3 linked regions of the Arabidopsis thaliana genome follow. The protein of the gene in region 1 interacts with the protein of each later gene in a biochemical or structural test. Each region holds a gene or a part of one and is shown on either strand. Other genes may lie near its edges.

What was found. The genes of interacting proteins can lie anywhere in the genome.
Region 2: the proteins of DCL1 (region 1) and AT1G07705 form a complex in vitro, tested with the Arabidopsis thaliana proteins (one study listed by BioGRID).
Region 3: the proteins of DCL1 (region 1) and VIP2 form a complex in vitro, tested with the Arabidopsis thaliana proteins (one study listed by BioGRID).

Annotation. Positions count from the first base shown.
Region 1 is NC_003070.9:21,519-26,499, reverse strand, and holds the start of DCL1 (dicer-like 1), read right to left. Parts: upstream 3,085-4,981; 5' UTR 2,982-3,084; coding exon 2,049-2,981; intron 1,959-2,048; coding exon 1,845-1,958; intron 1,749-1,844; coding exon 1,538-1,748; intron 1,460-1,537; coding exon 1,065-1,459; intron 977-1,064; coding exon 757-976; intron 676-756; coding exon 503-675; intron 420-502; coding exon 297-419; intron 209-296; coding exon 48-208; intron 1-47. UniProt on the Arabidopsis thaliana protein: Ribonuclease (RNase) III involved in RNA-mediated post-transcriptional gene silencing (PTGS). Functions in the microRNAs (miRNAs) biogenesis pathway by cleaving primary miRNAs (pri-miRNAs) and precursor miRNAs (pre-miRNAs).
Region 2 is NC_003070.9:2,379,725-2,386,676, reverse strand, and holds AT1G07705 (NOT2 / NOT3 / NOT5 family), read right to left. Parts: upstream 5,123-6,952; 5' UTR 4,923-5,122; intron 4,683-4,922; 5' UTR 4,588-4,682; coding exon 4,570-4,587; intron 4,455-4,569; coding exon 4,346-4,454; intron 4,274-4,345; coding exon 4,095-4,273; intron 3,996-4,094; coding exon 3,947-3,995; intron 3,838-3,946; coding exon 3,628-3,837; intron 3,331-3,627; coding exon 3,124-3,330; intron 3,036-3,123; coding exon 2,934-3,035; intron 2,552-2,933; coding exon 2,463-2,551; intron 2,365-2,462; coding exon 2,212-2,364; intron 2,106-2,211; coding exon 1,680-2,105; intron 1,571-1,679; coding exon 1,518-1,570; intron 1,441-1,517; coding exon 1,399-1,440; coding exon of another isoform or gene 1,395-1,398; exon of another isoform or gene 1,108-1,394; coding exon 969-1,107; intron 890-968; coding exon 821-889; 3' UTR 520-820; downstream 1-519. Other genes in the region: AT1G07710 (Ankyrin repeat family protein), read left to right, coding at 1-402; AT1G07700 (Thioredoxin superfamily protein), read right to left, coding at 5,550-5,663, 5,753-5,806, 5,895-6,380.
Region 3 is NC_003076.8:24,055,581-24,062,601, reverse strand, and holds VIP2 (VIRE2 interacting protein 2), read right to left. Parts: upstream 5,225-7,021; 5' UTR 4,446-5,224; coding exon 4,431-4,445; intron 4,323-4,430; coding exon 4,214-4,322; intron 4,132-4,213; coding exon 3,953-4,131; intron 3,872-3,952; coding exon 3,499-3,871; intron 3,056-3,498; coding exon 2,861-3,055; intron 2,745-2,860; coding exon 2,646-2,744; intron 2,358-2,645; coding exon 2,269-2,357; intron 2,167-2,268; coding exon 2,086-2,166; intron 1,935-2,085; coding exon 1,524-1,934; intron 1,436-1,523; coding exon 1,383-1,435; intron 1,286-1,382; coding exon 1,244-1,285; coding exon of another isoform or gene 1,222-1,243; exon of another isoform or gene 1,180-1,221; intron 1,155-1,179; coding exon 1,016-1,154; intron 926-1,015; coding exon 866-925; 3' UTR 520-865; downstream 1-519. UniProt on the Arabidopsis thaliana protein: Transcriptional regulator required for Agrobacterium-mediated stable genetic transformation by T-DNA integration in host genome, but not for T-DNA transient expression.

The DNA.
Region 1 (4,981 bases):
CAGTAGTTACAAAAATCAAAATGTAGTTCTTAAAGCTTTTTATGTACCTCTCAACCATGAGTATGTAGTCTGATCCAGGCTTTCTTGCCCGGCCACGAGACTGAATGTATGCCAGCACCGTCTTTGCAAGGTCGAAACGCATAACAACGTTACATTGCCTAATATCAAGTCCTTCCTCAGCAACGCTTGTGGCAACTAACAGTGTCACCTATCACAGTAGAAAGAGGAAATAGTAAGACATTTCAGTATAAGATAAAAAAAAAATATGTCTTAATGAAAGACAAAAAAAATCATACATGCCCATCTCGGAATTTGGAAATTGTATCCTGCATTTGAGATGATTTCATCTCCTGGCTGTTATTGTGTCCAATCATGCTGGCACACCGTATAAAACTAAGCGAAGGCAGCTCCGCAAAAACCTGAAAATTTCCAGGCTCAGAGAGACATAGGCAGAAAAATTATACACAAGAAAATAAATTGTTTTTTTCACTTTAATCCTAACCTTAGGAAGAACCAAAGCAGCAACCACCCTCTCAACGAAAACAATAGCTCGAAAATCAGCTGTGTGCTGATATTTGAGGAGTAGTTTGATCAATGATTGTACTTTTGGAGTAACTTTCCCATCAGCCACTGCGGCGCCTATTACTTCATCAACGTGCTCCCCTCCCGAGACCACTAAAACCATAGAGCTCTGTTAATATTGGATTTCTAAAACCGGTAAAAAGCGATTAGACAAAGAATGTGATTAATACTTACCAGGATCATCAGGGAGCTCTCCCTCCTCCATCTCGTCATGTGCATTACCATTTTCTGGTTTGCCAACTTCCGCCGCGACTTTTTCAGCAGCAGCGCCTTCCAGAAGCTCACATTGCAAGAGTGACACCACCTCACTGAGGTATGATTCTTGAAACTTCACGTCGACTTGGAAATTCACCCTCTCATCACTTTGCAAAGCAGACAAGAATGATTGTCCCACCTTGAAAGAAGACACAAAAATTATATCATATGAAAATAACATATCCATTTCAAATTATCGAAAACTATTTACTAAGTTGTTTTTTTACCTTGTAAGCACACCATTGACCCAATTCAGCAAGAGTATAATTGATAGCTCTAAGTTTATGAATCAAATTGGCAGCACCATCGCTCTCCGTTCTTTCAGAGACGCCATAAACCTGTCTCAATTCATCCTTTGCTCCAGCATCCCTAGCCCCCATAAATTGCCACTTGCTTTTCCTTGAACTTGCTTGTGCCGCTTCTTCAACAGCTGCAATCATTTGCTTTATTGTCTCATGAAGAGACCACATAGTAGCAGCTTTGTCATACTCGACGACTATCTCTGAAGGCATAGGCACATGTTTCTCTAATTCTTTTCGATCTTTTATAGTACAAACCGTAGAATCCAACTTGGTCTCGAGGTTACGTATCTTTATCGCACAATCTACTTGGCTTGAAACACCTACGTTTACAAACAAAAAGTGTCACTTTCAAGAACATTGGCAAGCTTAGAGAACTGTATACAAGAAACAATCAGTACCCTTTAAATTAACAGGCGAAGCAGTCATTCCAAAGATGGCAGGTCTTTTATCTTTAGGAGTTGTATGGTAAAACTCTGACATCACTAAAGAGTATGGATGTTTCTTGACAGCGTGGTGACACTCGTCGAGAATAAGAAGATCAATTGTTTCCATTCTAATGATACTGTGTCTCAGTATATTCAACAGAATTTGTGCTGTCATAACTAGAACCTGCGTAGAAGAAAATAGAAAAAAACTCGTTAACTTCAAGAACTGATTCATATAAAAGATCAAAGCTGGTATGAAAAAGAAGCATCAAAAAGCAACCTGCTTAGACTCAAACTCTCGTTGCCACCTTCGAGAATCCCAAAAGTCCTGTCCCATCTCACCACAATAATGTCCAACTTGAAAACAAGTTTGATTACGGATCACTTCTGCTTGCTGATAACGTAAGATAAATCAACCAACCAAAACCAATAGGTAACCAATTTTTTAAAAAAGAATACAAACATGTTTCTTATTAGGCGGTACCTGATAAACCAAAGGCACTTTGGGAACCAAGAACACCGAGAGCATTTTTCTGTTCTGGCTCATCAGATCCTTATGAACACTTTTAATAAGAAGAATCGCGATAAGTGTCTTTCCAGCACCGGTCTCAAGGAAAGCAATCGTGTTTTTCGCTTTAGCTTGTTCAAGAACATCCAACTGGTATCGCCTTGCTTGCTCTTCCACAACCTTCTCTTTACGTTCTTCAGGCTTACTCTTGTTCTCCTCTGCCTTGACATCGCATTCGCGGTTTCCACCACTCACTTTCTTAACATCTCTTTCATGATCAGCTTCCCAAGTCCCTGACCTATAAACCAACTCATTGGAACCAACTTTATCCCTCTCCCAATAACCCCTAACTTCTCTATCTCTACCATCTCTTCTGTAATTGTTACATTCCCTTTTCTTCTTATTGTTACCCGCCTCGTCCCAATTACGAGTACGTTTCCTATTCATAAACCTATCTCCCTCCCTAGAATTATTAACATGCCCTCTACCTGAAAGGTTACTCCTTTCACTCTGATAACTACAAACCCTAGCTCTCTTCCTATCCTTGTCTCCTTCCTCTTTCGAGAATTCGTCTCTCTTACCGCCATTCTTTTGCAACCCATTCTCCTTCACTGTCTCCTTAGCAATAACCTGAGGAGTTACAGTAACCTCGTTGATTTGAGAATTGGTATCAGAAACGCCATTGTTTGGTAAGCCTCCACCGTTCTTGATACTATCTAAAATGTGATCAATCCCACCGAAAAAATCATTGATGACGCCGTTTTCATCAGTGGATTCATTGACAGCAACAGAGGAAGGATCAAATTCAGACACGAGATCATCGATAAGATCACAAGAGATGTCCTCGCAAGCATCTAGCCAATAAGAAGGCTTTATTGTGGCTTCTCTAGGCTCATCCTCCATTACCATAATTCTATATAATAATCAAATCAAGAACATAAGAAAGAGGAGAAAAACTCACTCAAGAAAACCAAATCCCCAGAGAAGAAAACAGAACCAAAAGCACGAGAATTGAATAAACCCAGAAAAAGGGGTGAGAGAAGAAGAGTGTTTTGTGACAGATTAGGGTTAGATAGACCGTACGAAACACGCCAATTTTGAAGTTGTTGTTTGCAGGTAAAAAGGGGTCACGAAGAAGAGCAAGCAAAACCCTAGAGACCACTACTATTGATGATTTCTTTGTAAATAAATAGGAATTGAAAACCCTTTTGCAAAGTGTTTGTGATTCTGAGATTCCACGGTCTATCGATCCCTACTCTGTTCTGTTTCTCTCTTCGTCTTCCTCTCTCTTCTGGTCTGTTTTCCACTTGCTTGCTTCTGTTTTGTAGTAATATTTCTCTCTTTTTTTTTTTGCAATATTAAGATAATTGCCATTAAAGCAGAAGGGTAAATAATTTATTCGACTTTGTAAAAAGTAACTTATTTATTTTATCAGTTTTCTTAGGGTTATCTCCCGAATAGATATCATATGTTAATTTTAGAAGAAAAAAAATTAACAGATGTATTAAATTTATCAAGTAAAAGTGTAAAACTGAAAACTAAAAATGAAAAGATTTCGATATTATTTTATAAAGATTAAGTATTTATATCGAAATCGAAATCTTTTCATTTTTAGATTTCAGTTTTACGACTTATTCCACGCTTTTTACTGTTTCCATGTAAGTTAATATTCGATGAACCAATGAGATACGGACAAGTGGAAAACTATAGTGATTGGTTGGTTCTAAACTTCTAAAATGCTTTTGTTCTGTCATTCTGTGGACCGACTCGTGCAACTTCTTTCCCATAAAAATAAAAATAAAAATAATTATTCTAACTATTTTCAAAAACCTATATTACTTTTTATGATATGAAAATCTTCGTCGATCTCATCTCTTCCTCTCCTTTTAGTCGAGACTCTTCCTGCAAAGCCGTTAAAAAGTATTAACCAGTTTGCACTACCTTTAGTTAAATGTTAAGTAACGCTGCTTTGAAACTAGGCATTGCCTTGCAGAATTGATGTCCATTTGGCGTTAAAGTCAATACCAAAGTCACTAACGTCCATCAATCTATTAATGTGTGTATGGTACACTGATAAAGCAAAACTCTTCGTTTACCTTGATAATGCGTTTACTATTGAAAAGTTGATGAGAACTAGATACGTCTCCAAATCATTATAGTGGTGGTATATCAATGCGTTTTTGTTCTAGATCATTTCCACTCAAATAACACCTTTAGCAAATGCCATCGACTTTTGGCTAACGCCGAAAACAAATTCTTCTTTGTAAGCATCCAACACGCATAGGCTATTTTTTATGGATATTATATAATTTTGAAAATCAACAAAAAGTTTTAAAATCACTATGAAGAAATCACTTATGTTTTACATCTACTTTCATCTCTTTCCACTCCACATATAATAACTAATATAACTACTAGAAAGAACGTAACAAATGTCTGAAAAGTCGAATTTTCTACAATAATTGAATCCAAACGGCAAACGCAATTCGATCTTGGTTCTGTTGCTCGTTTAGTTAACTAACCAAAAACCAAATAATTCAAATAAAAAAATACGCGAAAATATATTGAAGATAGAAGTCGAATAGTGAGGCCGAAGAAACTAAGATATTGTTTTGTTCTTCTTCCAGATAATTGCATAAATCTGCATGGAAAGCGATCTAAAGTCGATCGAATAATATTATTTATCAGATTCGTAACTTTAAGACAAATGCATCTTCATACACTGCCTAGCTTACAATTCACGTTTATACTTTGTTTGGTATTTGATTTCTTATTGTGGACATGGACCTCACTGTATGATTGAATCTTAAGATTCTCAAAGGTGCATTTTGGAAAAAGTAATACAACATTTTTTCGTGACCAATTCATTGTTTCCTGTCATTTTTTTCTTTATTACCATCCCATTCTCA
Region 2 (6,952 bases), 2.4 Mb from region 1:
TTTGATTCGATCGCACTCTTCATCTCCTTAGCGGTCGTGGTGGTTCAGACATCAGTGGTGGTAATAGAGAGCAAGGCCAAGAAACAGATGATGGCTGTGATAAACAAACTCATGTGGCTTGCCTGTGTTCTCATCTCTGTTGCCTTTTTGGCTTTGTCGTTTGTTGTTGTTGGTGAAGAAGAGAAGTGGCTAGCCATTTGGGTGACTGCTATCGGGGCAACTATAATGATTACGACGTTAGGGACGATGTGCTACTGGATAATACAGCACAAGATCGAAGCTGCCAATTTAAGAAACATTAGAAGATCCTCCATCAACAGTATATCTGGATCCTGGGGGATTCCCCAGCTTACGGATTCTGATATTCTCCAGAACGAGTGTAAGAAAATGTATGCAATCTGACTTGACGATACTCAATCCGTTTTCACATTTATGTACACGGCAAGAACTTGATGTACCTTTTTCTGATACGGTTGATTCAATGAGTTGATGCGGGTGAAGCACTGGTATGGAGGAGTTACCTGAGATGCTTCGAACAGGAGAAATCGAATAAGGATTAGAGCAGAAAGGAAGAGAGTAACATTAATGTAACACCGATTCTAAATGGGGGAAGAAATGTGCATTGGTTTAACCTATAGCATGAAGAATTTCAGCTATATATGATCAACAACAAAAGTTACCAGGAGTTAAATAAACCAAAAAGCTAAATTCCGAGAAAAATACATGTTGGATACTGGTTCCTGTTCTATGAATTTCCTAACCAATGGATACTTTGGTAGGAAAGTTACATTATAAATACTGAAGAAGGCATAGTTTACACTCAATGTTGAGAATCTTGAGAAATGGATGGTCTTTTTTCCAGCATCTCGTAATAGAGAACAAAATTTTCCTGCAAAGAAATGATTTTGGGGTATTCTTCAGAGGCCAAATGAAGAAAGATACGATGAGCAGAATTTGGATGTACTCACCTTTTGAACGATCTCAAATGAGTTTGGATCAAAACAGTGATATGATCCTCTTTCATACGCATTTGTTTTCACGAGAGGTTCCCCGATTCTAATGAACCACAACCTGTGTTCTTTGTGGTAGAACCAACCCCTATTGTAACTGCAAAACAATAAGAGTTATGCAGCTTTATCCTTCAGTGCATTGCAATCTGATACCAAACCAGGAAATTAAGACAGAAACCCATTTTCAAGTCATGGAGAAGAAAGATGGAATCAAAAGTTGATGTTTTGCTTTCATATTCCCTTTCTTTTTCAAATGTGAAGACAAATTCATCTTCAATCTATATTCCAAGTTTAATATATGACAACTGTGAACAAAAAACTCCGAAGAAGCATTTTCATATTTACAATACTAGAGAAACAAAAATATATTATGATGAAAAGGACTTACAGTTCATTAGCCGCATAGAGTTGCGCCTCATCTTTCGGCATGCTGCACGACAAAAATTGTTATGGTTCCTTTGACAAGAGAGTGAATCAACAAGTACTTTCAATTCCAAAGACATATACCTATAGAATACGTAAAACAATGTTTCTACCAATAATTTTGCAAAGAGCCCTTGCTGCATCCACCAAAAAAAAATTAAAAGTTAAAAACAGCTAATGAAAAGAAAACACAAACCCAGATGGACAAATGAATGATGGTACTGATGAGAGACTAGAGTAAATTACATGTAGAGGTGGAGGGTTTTTTGCGTAGTAACACTGCGGTACACTGAATTCTGGATCAACTTTAGAGGGTTCATTGGACCAAGGCGAGCCAAAAGTCTTATGAAGATTTTCTGTTGAGTTCAAATTTAACCCCAGTGTTGTCAGATCAATACCAAGTGCCAAAGAAGTCAAGTCAGGGTCGCTCATCTTTATCACACTGAGCAAACCGAGTAAGCCAAACCGATCAGGATTTGACTGTGTCGATTGCATTGATTTTAATCCTACATCTCTGAAAGGTTGGCTAGCAGCTGACATCTGCTGCAAGCGATACTGGGCTGAGTTCTGTTGGTGCTGATATTGCTGGATGAGCTGCTGGTCATAACCCATCCCAGTGATAGAATTTGCAGAATTCATAGATCTTAATCCAATACCCGGAGCTCCACCAGTCTGAAACCAATCAAATATACCTTAGAAAGAACAAGAACGTTGGTTTCATGAAATAAAACCTTAAATGATCTCCGCCTGTTTTAAAATATTACAGACTACATCATACCTGTGAGTGGTAAGGCGGATGCGAAGATGAGAAGATGTCAGACCCATGTAAGGAAACACCACTACTACTCACAGCTTGAGCATGTTGTTGCTGTTGTTGAGGACGGTGTGATGTATATGCTCCACCTAAGTTAAACCCACCAGACCTTCCCATCTGCAAGGAGCCGCACTAGAGGATAAGGTAAATGTTTTGAGGAAAACTTTCAATGGAAGAGAATTAAACCCAATGACATTTTTTGACAAGCTACTCACAGATAATTGTTGAGATTGCATCATTAAAACTGAGTTCTCATGGAGTTGTTCTTTATGATGCAAATCCATTGGATAATCAGCACTACTACCTGTATAAAACCGATCAATCTTGTCATGACTGATGACTATACCTTAATCTAAAATCTATTTATACGAACAACAAATAATTTGAATGCAGACACCATGAACGTGTTGGAAAATTTAATAGACAGACTCTGTACTAGTATTATGATGAGATATTAAGAGAGTAATGTCACATTGGATCATGCAGATCATTAGTAATTCAGCTGGGTGTGATTACAAAATCACTCTCAAATCTCTCAACACCAAATATTATGCGAATGTGGAAGGTAGATGGTTCCTTTTGGGGTATGAATGTCAAATTCCATAATGCACACAAATATGACCCAAATTGAGACAATTTCTATCCAGTTGGACCATTTTAAAAAAGTTGCAGATCAGAAGGGTGACCTTTGTATCCTGGCAATGCTGGAAAATCTTCATTTTGGATGCTGAACTCTTGGTTTTGCTGAACTATAGGGCTGATTCCAAGGCCTTGTTTCAATCGAGACCCTAAGAAGTTTCAGAAAACAGCGGAGTATAGTTTTGCTTCAAACCAATAAAAGAAAGAAGATAGAATTAAAGGGTTTTTCTTACTTACCCAATTGTCCTTGACTGCCCGCAGAGCTGGGGCGGCTTGTGAGCTGAGGAAAATCATTATTAATATCAAACGGAGAAGTGTCGTTGGAGTTCATATCATTCAGCAAACCCATAGAGCTTAGACTGTTCATTGCTTGAACATGATTTTGGGAAAGTCCTCCAGCTGAAGGGTAAGAATTTCCCAGCATCGAAAGAACCTGCGGAGATCCTGAAGAGAAAGGAAAGAATATAAGAGTGTAAAGATATCATAAACGATGTGACGAAACGAGAAATTTGGGGAAAACATGAGGCCATTTGGTTACTGGAGTTCGACTGATTAGGAAATTCAAACAAAATCATGAGTTATTCGATTAATGATTTCTAAATACTAGTAGAAATCCGGTGTTGTTCATTTAATGATAAAGGATTTAACATCAATACTAACGGAATTGTAAATCAACTAAAACCATACAAATGCATAACCTATTTCAACAAAGAGCAGAAAAGGATATAAATCATGAAGTACCTTGTGGCAAGACCCCACCCATCATGCGATTTTGTCCAATATTTCCGGATCCGCTATTTACTGCCAAATTTAGCCGCGAACCAAGACTCGGAATCGACAATCCTCCACCAGAGCTCAAAGTCCTACCCATTGTGCCTCCACCAACCATATTCCCCATAGAACTCGTCATTCGAGAACCTACATTTCCCAATATTGGAGAAACTCCCAATCCTGGAACAGTAAACCAATTACCAATGGTGGTAGAGGTAGGAAGAGTTCAGGAATGGAACCACCCTATTAGTGTAACTACTGAATTAAGGTTTTCCAACAGTATTTATACCTCCCCTATTAGTGAGTCCTGAGTGTCCATGGGAGCTACCATGAGACATCTGCAAATAAGAATCCAAAAGAAAACTTTTAAGCAGAGCCAAAGCAAGGGTTCATATTTGCATTATTTTTAGGATACCAACACATAAGCATAACTGCACCTGAGAGAGTGCAACCGGAATATTGCTGGATGCAAATCTTCCATTCGAAATACTTCCATTTTGTTGTTGGACACCAGCAGATGGAACACCATTTAGACTTGAATTTCTCGATCCAAGACTTCCCGCCAAGTTGGGAACATTAAAGTTTCCATGAATATTATGAAGGCCCTGAATAGATCCTATAAAAAGAAAAAAACCAATATAAGTTCAGAAGAATTACGAAAGAAATAGCGCCGGAGACGTCTACCCACCAGCATGATGAAAAACTGGAGACGCTGCCCCAGACTGACCGGAGAAAGAAGAAGTAAACGTCCTCCCTGAACCGTCTGACAAATTCGAGGTAGACCCGTTTATTGAGGACTGAGGATATCATTGAAATAACCACAAGTCAGAACGACTGATAAACATTATTTATCCTAGAAGCTACATTGACAATACTGCAACACACTGATATAAAGATATGTGGAAGAAGTACATTAAGTAAACTTGACATTTGCAGAGATTAATCAACTCCAGAAGCAAAAGTTCATAAGCAAACCAAGCAGGAACCCTTCAGTGAGCTCAGGAATGTGAGATTGCAGTCGTGACCTGAAAAGAAGGATTATATGGTGAGACAGTAAATACATGGAAAGGAACAAACTTTGGATTCATCACAGAACTATAAACAGTAAAACTTCAACGTATCTGAATCATACATTACAAACAATCAAAACCCTTTCAACAACCGATCAAGGGTTCAAGAGAAAGTTTAACCATTGCGAAATCGGAAAATAAACAAAAACCCTAAAGCACTCAGATTTATAATCAGCAGTCAAACGAAATTAGAACCTGATAAGAATATGGACCCAAAGGATGAACAAAGAAACTCAATCTCGAAGCTCCAAGGAACGAAATTCTCGAAGATGGAGAAGAAATCGGAATAAAAAAATCTGATCTTTTTGTACTACTGACCGTTTTTAGTCTTATGTGTTTAGGACCCCGTCCTCGGAGGCGAACAAATTAAAGGGACCTTTTTTTTCTCTACATAGTAATTTTATTTACTTTCAGGGTTTACTAGTAATTAACCATGTTATTAAGGTAAATTATCAATAATTATAGTGACTAATAAAATTAGGTTGACTATATCCGAATGAGATAGTTTCTTAATTGATCATCATACCATATGAGACAAGTTGCAATCTGGTTTAAAGATCTTGCGGGGACCAAAAATACTTATCAAGTAACCAAAACTAGTAAGCTGTCACTGCAGATTTTGCACATATATACTATAAGTATGTGGGTTATGAAGACATAAAGGCAAACAAACAAAAGAAAGAGATCAAAATGTTGCATCTGTCTTATTCAGTATGACATCTTACAAGAAGAAGGATGATGCTGTGTTGTTCAATATAAGTTACATCATATTCAATGATTTGGGAAAGGTAACCCAAAGAGTGCGGTTTTGTCGAATGTTCTTCAAGATTCCGAGGATGTATATTTGAGAATAGCTGCGTCGATCCTCTCCTTGTCTCTAGTTGCAAATGATTCTAAGAGAACTCCGTTTTTGTAGAAGTGGAAGAGAGGAACCGCCTGTAAGATTGTAGTATATCAAACTCTTTACTACGCTGTTCAGTTAATTTTTGAGTGTTGTTAGTACCAAAATTCTAAAGAGGGATTACCTTGATACGGAGCCTTTCTGCGACTTCAGATTGTTCATCATATTCATCTACCACCTGCAAATAGCAGCATTAGAGCTATTAATGGATTTTTTCTCTACTTCTTTATTGTTTATACATCAAAGATGAGAGATCAGAAACTCACATTATGCTTAAGGAAGATAACAGGAGCTTCTTGGTCACCAGATTGCTTGCACAGTTTTGAGAAGCCCTGCTCTATGTATTTACAACTCCCACATGCAGTGCGATAAAAATCAACCACAACCAAAGAATTAGTTTCTTTCGACTTTTCAAGAACGCTAAGCAATTCATCATCTGTCTTGAACTCAGTGACACACTCCACAGGACATAGATCATCATTTTCATCAGATAACTCCACTAGGTTTTCCTGACTTAAGCTTTTTGCTATCCCACGCTGAAGCGTACAACCCATAGTGATGTTTATAGAAGACTCGGCTCTTGGAAACGACAACCTGACTCCGTTGTTGTGCCAGACCCATCTATGGTTTTCAACAGTGTTTATGCCTCCCCTACTAGTGAGTCCTGAGTATCCATGATAGCTACAGTGAGATATCTGCAAATTAGAATCAAAAATCAAAATTTTGAAGCAGAACCAAAGCAGGGGGGTCATCTTTGCATTGAAATAATCCTAGAAGTTACATAGGTAATAGTGATATAAAGGATATGTGGCAGTACATTAAGAAGACTTGACATTTGCAGATATTTAAACTAACTCCACAAGCAATAGCTCATCAGCAAACCAAGCAGGAACACTTTCAGTGAACTCAGGGGTGAAAGATAGCACTCGTAGTTGGTTGAGTGGCCTGAAACGAAGAATTCAATGGTGAGGCATGAAAATAACCAAAACAGAGATATGACATGTAAAGGGAACAACTTTGAATCCGAGTACAACACAGAGTTCTAAACGGTACAAGATCAACGCATCTGAAGCATAAATTTCAAGCAATGACCCCAAAATCTAAACCCTTTCGGCAACTAGATGGGGATTAAGACAAAACATGGAATGAACCTTCTAATGTCAGCAAATCAGATTAAGGATTCAACTGAAAGATCAACCATCCCCAAATCGGCAAAAACCCTAAAGCAATCAGAATTGTAATCTACTCACCCGTCAATACTATGGACCCAAAGGATCGAACTTTCGAAATAAAAGTTGCGTTCTTTTGAAAGTACAAACCGTTT
Region 3 (7,021 bases), on another chromosome or scaffold:
CTTGATTTTCCTGCTGATTTGATCTGATTAGCAAAGGACATATTTATAGGGAAGTTAGAGGATGAAGAGAGAATGTTCTTCGAGTTTCTTGAATAGAATAGAAAATGCTCCTTTTTCTAAAACCTTCGCTTGGAGTCTTTAGAACACATACACAATGATCACTGTGGTGAAATGACCAGATTTTTCTTGGCATTTCAGGAAGTTTCGTTTGTTGAAACAAGACCGAAATGCAATCCTTGGTTACAATTAAAACTACGTGCCGTTTTGCTTTGTTGTTGTATTATCCTCTTCGAGATACGGGCTCAGTGAAGCGGATCTTCTTTGCAAAAGCCCATTTCTTAATAGGTCGGAAGTGGAATTTAAGAAAATCTAACTCAGAGAAAAGAGGACAAAATCAAGATTTAAGATTATTAGCTTTTCGCCAAAGGAAAACTATAGTAAGTTCTCGCAATAACAGTTGGCACTAAATTTCCGAGAATGTCAACAATCTTTTAATGGATTTTTTTGTCTCCATATATACAAGAACTGAGCCACGTTTTTGTGACAAACATAGACAACATATTTACTAAACAAGTAAACTAAAAAAAAAAAAAATCTAAATGATTCGATTCAAGTATCAGTTACTGTGATCAAAATCTCAACTTATTTATTGCCTGTTCATGTCATGCTTGAACCAGAAGAAATGACCATGGAAAGTAATTGTGATTACCTTTTTGGGAAACTTGGGGTTAAAAATTGAAAATGTGATATGTCATGGTTTTGGTTTCTAATCAATAGAACTTGCATGAAAGAAAGAAAGAAAGAGAAATGAAGAGAAAAGCTTTACATTGTAAAGATGCTACTAATTGAACAAACCTACTTGTCGTCAAAGCTGCAGCAAGCTTGGTCTCTTTTCCATAAGCTCGTACTTGATAACAAAATGTTCCTGCGATAACCATCACCAGCAAAATTCACTCATAACACTGCAAATTCGAGAACAAGGAAATAGATATTCCTGCAATAATCGTCGGCTTACCTTTCTCACTGTTTTGAACGAATTTGGATCAAGGTATTCGTATGTTCCTCTTTCATATGTAGCTGCCCTGACTAAAGGTTCCCCGACTCTGAAGAACCATACTCTGAGTTCCTTGTGGTAAAACCAACCTCTTTCGTAACTGCAACATGTCAATCGAACTCAAAAGTCTCAGCCAAAGAGAGCGGAGTAAACGAATAGATCAAAGATTACAGTAGAGAAAAAACATACAGTTCATCTGCTGCGTACAGCTGTGCTTCATCTTTTGGCATACTGGAACAATAATTAGAGCAAAGTAATAAGTTTAAAAGCCCAAGGTTAATTTAGGAGTTGGGCAAATGTGACGCTGAATGCTGATCTAATAACAGACCTGTAAAATGTGTAGAACAATAACTCGTAGGAGAACCTTTTGAAACTAGCTCGCTGCAACAAACGGAAATAATGACACATTTGTTAACAAAATCGAGAAAATACTTTGTTGGTACTACTCGCAACAACAGAGGGAACTTACAGTTAGAGGCGGAGGTTCTGTGGCGTAGTAACAATTTGGTACTGTGAACTCGACCTCGCTCTTTGCCGGTTCATTTGTCCAAGGAGACGCAAATGTCTTGTAGAGATTTCCAGTTGAATTCAAATCCAATCCTAGCGTCGTCAAGTCGATGCCAAGAGCAAGTGAGGTCAATTCAGGGTTGCTCCTGTTTAGTACGTCTAACAAGCCAAGCAAGCAAAAAGGATCTGCCTCTGACTGTGTCGATTTCATCTCAGAATCTCTAAATTGGTTGATTGATGACATCTGTTGCACAGGGAACTGGGATTGATTTTGATGTTGCTGATACTGCTGAATAAGCTGATCATAACCAATACTGGAAACTGCATTAGGCGAGCTTAGAGGTCTAAGGCCAAGACCCTGTAGCCCACCAGTCTGGTATTAAATAAGAATTAAATGATAAGATACGGTAGTTGGAGCAAGTGTGGCCCAACCACATGATGCAGTACCATAATAATATGAGATATGCAAATTGAAGAAAGTTCCGGCTTGTATACATATAGGGATAGGAGAGACTGCCACTCACAGATGAAGTATGTTGTGGCTGTTGTTGTGGACGATGTGATGAATATGTTGCTCCCAAGTTGAAACCACCAGATCTACCCATCTGCAAATTTGCAATATCCAAACATTAATTCACATCAACAACCATATCAACAGAAAAAGGCAGGACAACACTTTGTTAACTTCGAAACAGTCTAAAGCTTACAGAAAAGTTTTGAGAGTGCATCATTGACATAGCATTGTCATGCAGTTGTTCTTTTTGATGCAAATCCATAGGATACTCAGAATTACCACCTGCAACAAATCTACTACGCTTGTGAATGATCCAGCAGGTTTAGCTTACATCATTAAGAAGCACATCTTATCATCTTTCTCATGCAATAAGCTATAATATGAAGGAAGCTAAGAAGTTTATGAACTTGGAAACGGACTTTCATGAGATTTTGGAGAATAGCATAGAGGAAAACTTTTCAAGATAGGGGAAACTAGAGACGATATTCCTCACTACGTGCACATAAAGTCTGCAAGACCCAACTTTATGCACAATACAATACAAAGTTATCGACAATAAAAGACCAGCACCTTTATATCCAGGAAGGGCAGGAAAGTCTTCATTTTGGATGCTGAACTCCTGGTTTTGTTGGACAAGTGGAACTCCTAAACCTTGTTTCCTCAAAGAGCCTAAAAACACCACCGCAAGAGTATGAGGAAACAAGACATGATTTGGAAAATCTTTTCAAAAACTTATGTTATATTAAGTATATGAATTTCAAAAGATCTTCAGATAAACCGACTACCTAGATGTCCTTGAGTGCCACCAGCAGACCCAGGACGACTTGTCAGCTGGGGAAAATCGTTGTTGATGTCAAATAGAGAGCTGTCGTTAGGATGATCACTGAGCATCATATTGTTAACTGACTGAACATGATTCTGCGAAAGCGGGCCACCACCAGTATGATAGGAGTTCCCCAGCATAGACATGACCTGAGATCCTGTACCATACAATTTTACAATTAAATTTTTACTGCTATTTCCACATACAGCAGCTGCTAACTAATTGCATGTTTAATTAAATAAGATTTTGTGTAAAGTAAACAAGCTCGTCTTACAAAGTCCAAACAATCCCAGAGTACTGCTTTCTCTACATTCTAACGTACTCACGTGAGTCTAGAGAAGTATAGACTACAAAAGCAAAACAAGTTCAACTGCTGATATCAATCCTACCCCCTAAATGACTAATTATTCTAACTTATTTTCCACAGGACCTCCTAGCTACTAGACCAGTAAAAAGGTGTACTCCATGAAGCAATATATTCTATTTTATTTACAATGCTATAACAAGAAGTTAAACAAGGCTCGGCTCAGTTGTATCAAATGAAAGGCAAAAAAAACCTTGAAGACAGCAAATGGAAAGGACTCGATAAATCATATATACCTTGAGGAAGTACTCCACCCATCATTCGGTTCTGTCCCTGAACATTTAATCCTGATCCGCTATTTGCTGCCAAATTTAGTCGTGAAGACAGACCAGGAATAGACAATCCACCAGAGCTAATATTCCTCCCCAAGTTACCTCCACCAACCATGTTTCCCATTGAATTTGTTATTCGAGGACCTGAATTTCCCAACAATTGGGATATTCCCATCCCTGGAACACTATTCCGATTACTGAGTCCTGCAGATGTAGAGAGAATTCCAGGAATAGAACCACCAACTCCATTAGCGTTACTACTGAATCCAGGGTTGCCAACAACATTAAGACCTCTATTTGGGATTCCCGAATGCCCATGTGAGCTACCATGGGACAACTACAAAGCAATCATCGTATAATATAAGACACAGATTAAGAACAAGAGCCGTTTTTTCACAAAATTTTAAACAACATGCACCTGAGAGAGATTAACAGGTAGATTATTTGAAGCAAATCTTCCACTGGAAAAACTCCCATTAGGTTGTTGAACTCCGGCAGATGGTATACTATTCATACTTGAGTTTCTTGATGTAAGTGTACCTTGCATGTTCCCGACATTATAGTTCCCATGAATATTATGAAGTCCCTGAAGATTTCCTGCATGAAGAATATGTAGAAGTTATATAAGTTCAGAACGACGCAAAATATAGAAGAAGGTCAAGATAAGAATAACACCCACCAGTATGATGAAAAGAGGGAGACGGTGCACCAGATTGTCCAGAATAAGAAGCAGTAAACGATCTGCCCGAACCATCTGGTAAATTCGAAGCTGAACCATTGAGAGATGACTACAAAGGAAAGAGCACAAGAGTTGATGGATGAGAAATGGTACGCATAATTAAGCAAACGTTATCCTAAGCACACTAAAAATATTCTCAAGGTGAATAGGAAGGTACATGAAGGTTTGACATTGCACTAACTGACTGACAATCTCACGTGAGACAATGTATCATTCGGTGACAAGACGCGAAACCGCCTACAATCTGAGATGGAATAAACGATTACTCAGAAATGAATAGCCTGGAAAAAAGGAAGAATTCAATAAACCAAACAAAGGAGACATAAATCTTATCAACCATGGTGCAACAACAGACGAAGCTACTGTATAAACTACATATTGTTCAAAGTAAGATTGAAATTCTCATCCTTTGAAGGTTTATACACAGTAAACTTTCATCTAGAAACAAGAAGATAATGAATCAGCAACCATGAAATAAACTTCTAGCAGGAAATCAGAAGTCCAGGAAACGATTCAGAACAAGAAAAAAAAACCTCACGAGGATCCAATAAAGAAAAAAACAATCAAACGCAAGCGTAATTCAACAGTTGTAATAATACGACTGAGCAACAACACAGGATCCTAAATTCAGCTATCGCGATGCAAATTCAATAGTAAGATAACAAAATTGAACTCCGAAAACCCTAGAAATGACGTTGTTTAAATCTGTTCACACTCAACAGTAAAAAGGAGAAGGATGCGTACGGAGGAAGAAGAAGAAGAAGAAGAGAAACAGTGCCCAATTAGAAAACTCTGGAAGAAAAATTGAGAGAAAGGGTTAAGAAGAATCCGAAGAAGATTTTTCGTGAAGTTTCGTAAATTGGGAAGAAGCGGAGATTTTGATTCAATTTGGTGCCCTAAATCGGAAAACGGATATAGGAACGAGAGAAGAAGCAAGATTTAGAAAATTGGGATCGATAAATATTTTATTAAATAAAATAAATAAAGGAAACAAAATATAAATATTAGTTTTGTGCCGAATGATTGGTGATGGAGGGAACTTTCAGAGGTCACGACAGGCCCCACGAAACCTTCTTACTCAGAAAGAGTGTCTTTTGTAAGGAGAAAAATTCCTTATTTGCGGATCCATGTTTGGGCCTATTTGACCAGGCCCATTAGATACACGATTCACAATTTTACTTCCAAATCAAGAATGATGTTGATGTTTTACTTTGTGGAATCATGAAATCGTAGTGTAAAAGAAGAAATACTGAAGTAGGTGAATTCTGTTTACAAGATTACGAAGCCTAAATCAAACAAAACGACAAAATTGTGTGTTTTGAAGGTTGTAGTTAAAGCTAAAAGTGTTGAATAGTAACTATGCCTCTTATTCAGCTATGAATGCTAAGATGTTTTGTATTTAGTTAACATGAAAATGACGTTAGATCTTTCAAGATAATTAAAATAACGTCCATTAATGCAATTCAATCATATGATCTAAGCTTGTCAAAGTTTACAAAAAATAAGAAAAAGGCCGTTTCTTTAGAAGATAAGTTATTTTTGCATGGGCTTTAAAATATCACTAAGTAATCTTAGCACAACATACAACTCAATTTATGTTAATATGTGTAAATTTGAATTTTATGTTGTATTTGTTTTAAGTGAATCAATATAAACAAATCTAAAAGTCATTCTCCTTGCGACATCTCAACCAATTTTTATTTTATTCTTCTTGATTATGCTTTAACATAGTATAGAATTGTTGTTTCCACTGTCCAAACAAATGTGTCGGTAGACAACACAGGTCCACAAATATCATTTTAGGCTGAAACTATTTTGTACAACATATGATACATGCTTGAACTTGGATATTACACACGACACTAACACAAGCACTAGATTATGTAAATGATCATTTATACGTTGATATCCAAGAATTATATTATAAGTTCCCAATTGTCAAGAAAAACATAGTGGGCTCATCATATTATAGATAATTTTAGTAAATATAGCGACATCTTATCGATCCTTTCAGATAAACTCTATTGTATGTCATGTTCCATTTAGATGAAAAGTAGGGGCGGTTAATGTCGTCATTCTTCATTTATATCCAATCTAGAACTTCTAGATCTTTGACACATATATGTATGTGACCACCTCATTTCATTTAAAATCTTTAAGCTTCTGTTTCGTTTTGATTTATGAAAAATCTCAAGGCTAAGTAGTGTATGATACTTTAAGTATAAAACTTAATAGCTCAATTAACTAGTAACAAAAACTTGAAATGAGACTATTGTGACAAAAAAAAAAAAACTTGAAATGAACTTCCAACAGAACGAACATGGAATAGTAAACTCATGATAATCTATTTATAATGCATGAACAGATGCCGAAAAAAATCATGTGTCCCGTGCTTTCTTCATAAATATGGTCGGAAGTTTGGTATATCCTTAAAAAAAATTACACAACCTACATATGTTGACTTTTTTTCCAACCTCCACTACCATCCTTAATTTTTTGGAATAAAGAAAGTATATATTTGAGATTTAGCATATGTGACTGTGAGTGACGAACCGACGATTGCATACAAAAATGATATTATAATTATAATTATAATTAACAAGAAAAATATATAGTATTGTTGTAGAGAAAAAGTTAAATTATCGCTATTTCTTTACAGATTAAAAAGTGGTAATGTAACATACCCACTAACGTTTGTGCAGTTTTTTATGGTAAAATCTGGGAAATTTTCGTCTTCTTCCTAACTTT